Bombyx mori: one gene and its partner. Each later gene encodes a partner of the first gene's protein in a complex. Links are inferred from orthologs where the notes say so. Each region holds a gene or a part of one and is shown in the gene's direction. Other genes may lie near its edges.

Region 1 (4,283 bases):
TTTTACGATGTAATCTCACGTTTTTTACTGACATTAAATATACGACATTTAATTTTTGAATACTTTACAGTTTTCATGGTCACTGACGATATTTTAATGATGATGTTTTCTTGATTACGATCTTGATGATGACAATAAAAACCGCGAGATTATACCTTAACAGTAGTTTTAATTACTTAAAAATGTTCTTAAAGTTTTTAAACTTATATTATCAAAAGATTAGAACTATTTTTCATATGTTTACTGTACGAGTAATCACTGAAAATACTTTATAAAAATATATTTCACTTTCATCAATGTACTAATTTGATCAATAATGAATAAAGGTTATACCTACCGTCCTTGAACGAAGATAATAAAAATTGCGAGATAATATACTTTCCAAAGTAACTTTTTTGACTGCATTTCAGTTAATTTATTTTGAATTAATTGAAGCGTGACGTGTACAACCATTGAGTGAATTTTGATGATATTTTAAAATAAAACAAGCCACGCCACAGCGCCTTTAGTTGTGTGAGATCTGAATTTAAATACATAAAACATATAATAAAATCTCCGTGCTAACCTGCCTGAGAGACTTTGCTAACATCTACTGTAGCAAGAGTAGTGCTTTATTGAATTTATTGCCGGATCAGAATCGCGACCTACTGATAAGATCCGGTGAGAAACTCAAGGGTTGTGTCTGTGGGTTAATGTATAGTTGTGGTGTCACGGCGGAGCACACGTTCGCATACTGCCCCGCTTTCGCGAAGCAGCGCCGCACCCTCGTTGCAAAAATAGGTCCGGACTATGTGCGGCAGCGACGAGCCCTGGCAGGCGATGCTCGACTTCTGTGAGTCCACCATCATGCAGAAGGAGGCGGCGGAACGGGGAGAGAGAGCTCTTCTTTCCTCTCGGCGCCGGGCCACCGCCACCGAGCCGGGAATTGGAGGAGGGTGTTCGTCCAGCTCCAACCCCTGTGAAGAAGCAGTCTCCTCCCGGTGATGTTCACGGGGCGACCTGAGGTAGTCGAGGTTGCGCCACACGCTATTGTCACTGTAGCGTGCTGGCATGTGACGACGCATCTTCGGAAGCGGTCCGCGATGCGGTCCGCATTGCCGTCGTCGCTGTCGTCGTCGAACATACTGTGGAAGAGCAACCGTATAAGGGGCAGGGGAGTCGTTTAGTGCGGTAGGGTCCTTAAATAATTTTGGACCTACGGTCTGCTTCCAACATCTGCAGATCGTCAAGTCTCATATACCCTGCGTGCCCCCTAGGCGGGGGAACCTCATGGGAGGTTCAGCCCCCGGCCCCAAAAAAAAATTATGTTGTTATGTATGTACGACCGTTCTTGTGATTGATCATTCCCGATCTCGAGATTATATTTCATCCCATATCATCTCATTTCATTTCATTTCACTCCATATAATTATCATTTTTCATAAAAATAAGAATATTATAAATTAATATAAGACATGACCTAAAGATCTTAGTTACCAGGTCATAAAATCCCTTAAAAAAAAGTAAGGCGGTAAGGTCGATTGACGAACGACGATTTTGTTTTTATTTTGAAACCGTGAGCGGAATAATTGTCAATTTGTTATACATAATCACAAATTGTGTTGTGATCTACCTTTATTATGGAAAATTGGTCAATGGAGACACCATCAAGAATAAACGCTGAAAATATACCTCAAACCATAACTCAAAATCCGAGTGAACTTACATTGGGTTCGGCGTGTACAGAAAACGCTTTTCAATATCCAGCATTATTTACAAGCAAAAGCTTTCTTGAATTGTCCACTTGCTCGTGGTCAAGGGGTCGTAATGCTAATGAGAATATACAGCCTTATTTACGTGGATGTAAGTGGTCCCCAGATGGAACCTGTTGCTTAAGTGTTGTCAATAACGATGGTGTTCATGTTACCGAGCTTCCTAGTGAATTGTACCAGGGCGTTGTTTGTGGCGATCGTATAATCGATGTCTTAGAATCAGTGATACATTTAAAAGAAACAGGTTCAGTTTACGACTTCTGTTGGTACCCATTCATGAACAGCACAAATCCCCCTTCCTGTTGGTGAGTGAGATTTAAAACTCAATATTTGGTCTACAATGGAATTGATGTAAATATAAAATATCGTTACTTAAATATCAACCAATCTAAAAATTAAAAAAATGCTCAGTGCCTTATGACAAAGGTGTACAACCAATGTGTTTTACCAGTGATGACGTACGGTTCTGAGATATGGTGTTTCACAAGGGAACTTTTTAAGAAGCTTAGTGTCACACAGCAACCTATAGAGAGGGCTATGTTTGGTATTTCTTTATGAGATCGAATCAGAAATGAGGAGATCCATAGAAGAGCCAAACTTGTTACATAGCCCTAGGATTAGCAAGCTGAAGCGGCAGTGGGAATGCCATATAGTACGAAGATTGACAGCCGATGGGGCAGAAAAATCCTTAAATGGAGACCACGTACTGTCAAGTGCAGTGTGCCGTGTACCAGATGGGCTGATGACATAGTGGACATCAGTAGGAGAGGCCTATGTTCAGCAGTGGACAGGCTGAGATTATGATAAAATATCAATTTTAGTTTGTCAGTAAACATAATTTCTCTTCCTTTAAAATAAGGAGCTGAAATAGATTTCTTAAGAAATGCCTAACTTTCATGTAACTCAATAATTTTATTGACAGCTGGTTAACAACAAAACAAAATTCTCCCATACAAATGTGGGATGCATTTGATGGATCACTCAGATGTTCATACAGAGGATTCAATGCAGTAGATGAAATGGAACCAGCTTTATCAGTTAGCTTTACCTCAGATGGTAGAAAAATCATTGCTGGCTATAAGAAGCATTTAAGAATTTTTGATGTTGAGCGGTAATTCTTCATTATCAAATTTATCTTAAAACTTTAATTTCATGCTCAGTGTGGGTATTTAAGCAAAGCTTAGACTTGCTAATAACTACTTTATATCAAGGCAGGAAGCTTTTATCGTATCTATACTAATATAAAGAGAATTTGTTGTATGGAAGTAAAATCTTTTAATATACTCATTAAGTTAGTAATGTGCTCAAGATAGACAATTTTTTTATTTCTTTGATTGGTATACAACTAGGTTTTAAGTGATTACTAGAGCTCATAGACTTCAACAACATAATTGTTGCAATCCTGCCTGAGTTCTAGGTCTATTTTATTTGCTTGTATATTAATCAGTAAATTTTTTAGGCCTGGCAGAGAATTTACTGAGCAAAAGATTTCTAGTTCAGCATCTAGCATTTCAACACAAAATAACTTAGTTGCTGTTGGTTCTTGGAATACAACAATAACTTTGTATAATGAATCAGAAATTGGTACTAAGAAAATTGGGGACATGTATGGACATGGAGGTAAATAGCACTGAATAATTGGTGTAACGTTTGTTACATATTGTTATATATATACCCAATACCTATATATACCTAATCCAGCCATAAGTTCTGTTTCAAATGAAAATGTTTTTTTTTTAATGAAGTAAAAAGAAATGAAGTCAGCAAAAAATAAAGAAAAATATTCTACTTGAAATGGCCACCTTTGGCTTTTATACAGGCCTTTAATCTGTTTGGCCATGAAACTATGAATTTGCGCACTGTTTCCAAGGGAAATTTCACTGCTTGCTCCAAAGGTTTTTTAAGACTCAATGTCGCTGTATCGCTTAGAGCAGGCCATGTTCTCTAAAACTGACCATAATTTCAAGTCTAATGGTTGAGGTCTGGGCTCGGTGAGGCTGGACTTCAGCTCTTACAAAGTCTGGAACATTGGTTTCAAGCCAGGCTTGGGTAGTTCCTGCCTTGTGACCAGGTGCAGAGACATGCGGGCCAGTCCACAGTATATTTTTAAAAAGTGTATTGCTGAGAGGTTTTACAGCATAATCCAAGACATGGATACATGGACAATGATACACATTGACTGAAGTTTTCACTTTCTTTTTCACAAAAATATAGCTTGTGATTCCTTGATAAGACACGCCCCACCAAACCATCACTGATGCAGGATGATGACCACTTTGTACCTTTCCTACCATTTCAGCAGCTTCTTTAGAACTGTGAGTGTACACTTTATCATTTTGTTTATTGCAGTGTTCTTCAATAGTGAAATTTTTTTCATCAGTAAAGAGAATATTTCTGTGCCTTTCACCTGCATATCGCATCAAAAGGCATTTTCATTTATCCAATCACTTTAATTATAAAGATTGATTTAGGGTATATCCTGCGAGCTTCAGGTCTTGTTTTATAATACGCGACAGAGTCCTATCGGGAATC
Region 2 (3,615 bases), on another chromosome or scaffold:
AAATCCGTAAAAGTCCTAATTAGCCAAGAATGTCAGTAAACGTCACTTTGATTTTGTCAAAATAGTAGTAGTTTCACTTTTCCAACTGGAGAGGCGAAGATTTCACACCTTAGAGCCTAATCTTTTGCAATGAAATGAAGATAATTAATTTGAGATATTAATCAATTAATATGAACTTAAATATAATGAGATTATATGGGATGAATTAAAAGTCGCAGTAAAATCAGTGGAATTTTTGGAAGATCCTGAGAAGATAAGTCCGTCCCACTTGTACAAATACGAAACACTTAATATAATGGTTATATATGGTTATATTTTAACCATTAATACACATTCAAACCTGAAGGAACAATAAAACAATGCACACAATTTCGCTTCTCGCCCTATCGCCAAAAAGTCTTTCTAGTTTTCTTGCGGCTGAAGTAGATTTCTCGGGTCAGAGTGTTTGGTTTTTTTCTATTGTTCGCAGGGAAGAAGGATCCATCTGACATAAGTAGTCGCTCAACAATGCCAGGGCCACAACACTCACAACCAAGCTGCTGCCTGCGGTTTTAGTTGCGGATAATACATTCGAAGAATAGTTTGTGCTCTTTGTTGGATAATGTAGACGAGCCCACCTAGTATCAACGTGCTATCAAAGCCCACTATTTTAGAGATTAGCGTTCATTAGTAGAACTATTCTTATGACTGCTTTTAAATTGTTAACGTATTAATTACTTTCTAGCAATGAATATACCACATGAAGCAGCAATGACTTCTTCATTTTTAGTCAACACTCATTGCACGTAAAATACTGATCTGTCTGTATCTATAATCTCACAATTATATGCCTTGTAACGCTCTTACTTAATGGCTAGTCCTATCAGCGTAATCATTTCGAGGGATGACAGTTTTATTTAGTTTCAGAAAAGAAATTACTGGCACTCTTCTGAGATTAAGCGAAGCACCTCGGACCTCTAAACGTGATTGCTGGTTCACTTGTCAGAAATTATAGTTATTATTATTGACACGAGGTAGTAGGCGATATTTCCGCACCTTGTTCAATAATTTAGTTAATGAACAATTTAATGTTGTATTAGTACGGTAAAGGCCAAAGTTCGACGATTTTCATAGTTTATAATATGCTAAATTGCTATTTCATAACACAAAAAATATTATTTTATAGTTTTTTTTTTAAAAGAATTTACGAACCACGAGATAAAACCGCAAAAGTATGTAGTTTTAATTATGCAGAACATCAGGTAAAGACGATCCAAACCGCAAAAATTATAATTTGCTTAATTACAATTGGTAGGGACGAATCAATAGCTAGATAATACTACGTTTGAAGGGCAGGATAGACGTGTAGGTGAGCTATATAGGTAACTATATAATTGAGACTGCGACCTCATGTCCCAAAAGGGGCGGCAGTATTGTCGTTGCGATGTCAAGGGGCTTCAGTAACCACTAACACTAGGTTTACCGTGCTCACCGTTCTTAGTAACAGAAATAACAGCGTGGATGTCTTTCGCTTTGTCATTCGGTAGTTAGGTGTATCATCTATGACCGCACCTTCATTCTCAAATAGGTATGTAAAATTCTAATTTATCTGACTTTGTGGCGGGAACGCGAGGAGTGAAGTTGTGTGATTTGTTTTATTTTGTCTATTTAATGTTTCTTCATGTTTAAATGTGTAACAGCGGTGGTTTATTAACTGCTTAGTATCTGTGAAAGTGCACAAATGTGGGAAAATCAAACAAAGCCGCTCAACGTAACTTCTCGGAATCTTCCAAAAAGTCCACTGAAAAAATCTCAGTAAATGACCACCATTTTGCTGAGATTATATTTCATACCATATCACCTCATCTTATTTCATTTCATTTCACTTCATACCTATTATCATTTTTCATAGAAATAAAATAAAAATTAAAATAAGGCTTGACCTAAAGGTCTTGGTCCGAGTCATAAAATCCCTTAATTTCTTTTATCTCATTTATCTATGCCTTCATTCATAAACTTGTCAAAACTTCGTGCATGTTGTGAATTGCGACAATACGCATAGTTTGAGGTTATAAATAATAACTTTGGTAATTGTTAATTAAAACATGTCGTTCCGCGGTAGAGGAGGCGGCGGTGGAGGACGTGGTGGATTTGGAGGCCGTGGTGGATATGGCGGCGGAGGAGGACGAGGCGGTGGCGGAGGGCGCGGTGGCCGTGGTGGATTTGGCGGAGGCCGCGGTCGAGGGGGTGGTGGTGGCGGAGGTCGTTACCAAGATGCTGGACCGCCCGAGGCTGTTATTCCGCTCGGACATTATGGTTGGACCGTTCAAGACGATCTAGTCTGCAAAGTAGACATTGAAGACGTGCCGTATTTCAACGCGCCTATATTCCTCGAAAACAAAGAACAAATCGGCAAAATTGACGAGATATTTGGCAATCTACGAGATTACTTTGTGTCAGTCAAATTAGGAGAAAATGTCAAAGCCAAGAGTTTCAAGGAAGGGCAGCAATTTTTCATTGATCCCGCGAAGTTGCTACCTTTGAAAAGATTTTTGCCACAACCGCCTGGGGCAAAGAGAGGCGCGGGAGGTGGTAGAGGAGGCCGAGGCGGTCGTGGTGGCAGAGGTGGAGGTGGATTTGGTGGCGGCGGCAGCGGCGGTGGATTTGGCAGAGGAGGCGGTGGTCGTGGAGGAGGCGGTGGCTTCGGTAGAGGTGGCGGTGGAGGCTTCGGTAGAGGCGGCGGCGGTGGTTTCGGAAGAGGCGGCGGAGGCAGGGGTGGTGGATTCAGAGGAGGCAGAAGATAGCCCATGGACCTGCAGCAGACCTACAGTGTCCAAAATTCTGTGTATGGATATTTGCCAGGTGTCTGGTATTTTTAAGAAGAAAACTTGAAAGTGTGCGTGAAAAGAAGTTGGATTCCAGATTTAATACATTTTATTACATTTATACATTAAATATATAATAATATGTATAATAAAAAACAACCAAAATATAAATTGTTTAATAACAAAACTGAACATATTTTGCAGATTTAAAGCTAAACTTGTTGCATACACAAACTATCTAGATGTAAGTTAAGTTTAATATAAAATAATATTTTAATCTGGTTTTTATTTTCTTTTTAAAAAACACACCTTGTGCTTATTCTTAATACTTTGATTTCAACAAAATAACGATCAGGTAACTGCTTGTTCAAGGCTCCATAATATTTGCACCAAATACAGTGGTACCTCGAGATACAAGTTTGTTTCATAAGCTTGCTTGATGTCAAATAGCTCGTATCTGAAAGCAAAATATCGCTCGCTCGGCAGCTCATATCTCAAAACACTCCAATATTATACAATAGGCAGCGGCTTTGATACCGTTGTGATGACTTAAAATGTTATTAAAATTCTTTGACTGTTGTCTGAGCTACCAGATTTAAAAAAATGCCAGGCCTGCAAAGAAATAGAAAACATGCTATATATATAAATTTTTTCTATTGTTCATTTGGACACAGTATGAGGAGGATACTAATGCAAAGGTATTCTGTTGCTTGTGGCAAGTTTGTAAAGCAAAACACATTTCGATCAAATCTACTTTGCTTGTATTGTAACAATGTTTTAATATTAGATATTATCCATTTTAATAACATTA

What was found. Proteins that work in one complex are often made in the same cells at the same time.
Region 2: telomerase Cajal body protein 1 homolog (region 1) and probable H/ACA ribonucleoprotein complex subunit 1 share a complex: the UniProt entries of both Homo sapiens proteins name them as parts of the telomerase holoenzyme complex. The link is inferred for Bombyx mori from reciprocal best matches to the Homo sapiens genes WRAP53 and GAR1.

Annotation. Positions count from the first base shown.
Region 1 is NC_085124.1:10,450,095-10,454,377, forward strand, and holds the start of telomerase Cajal body protein 1 homolog, read left to right. Parts: upstream 1-1,482; 5' UTR 1,483-1,619; coding exon 1,620-2,056; intron 2,057-2,673; coding exon 2,674-2,862; intron 2,863-3,210; coding exon 3,211-3,371; intron 3,372-4,283. UniProt on the Homo sapiens protein: RNA chaperone that plays a key role in telomere maintenance and RNA localization to Cajal bodies. Specifically recognizes and binds the Cajal body box (CAB box) present in both small Cajal body RNAs (scaRNAs) and telomerase RNA template component (TERC).
Region 2 is NC_085110.1:1,087,348-1,090,962, reverse strand, and holds probable H/ACA ribonucleoprotein complex subunit 1, read left to right. Parts: upstream 1-1,596; 5' UTR 1,597-2,084; coding exon 2,085-2,783; 3' UTR 2,784-3,081; downstream 3,082-3,615. UniProt on the Homo sapiens protein: Required for ribosome biogenesis and telomere maintenance. Part of the H/ACA small nucleolar ribonucleoprotein (H/ACA snoRNP) complex, which catalyzes pseudouridylation of rRNA.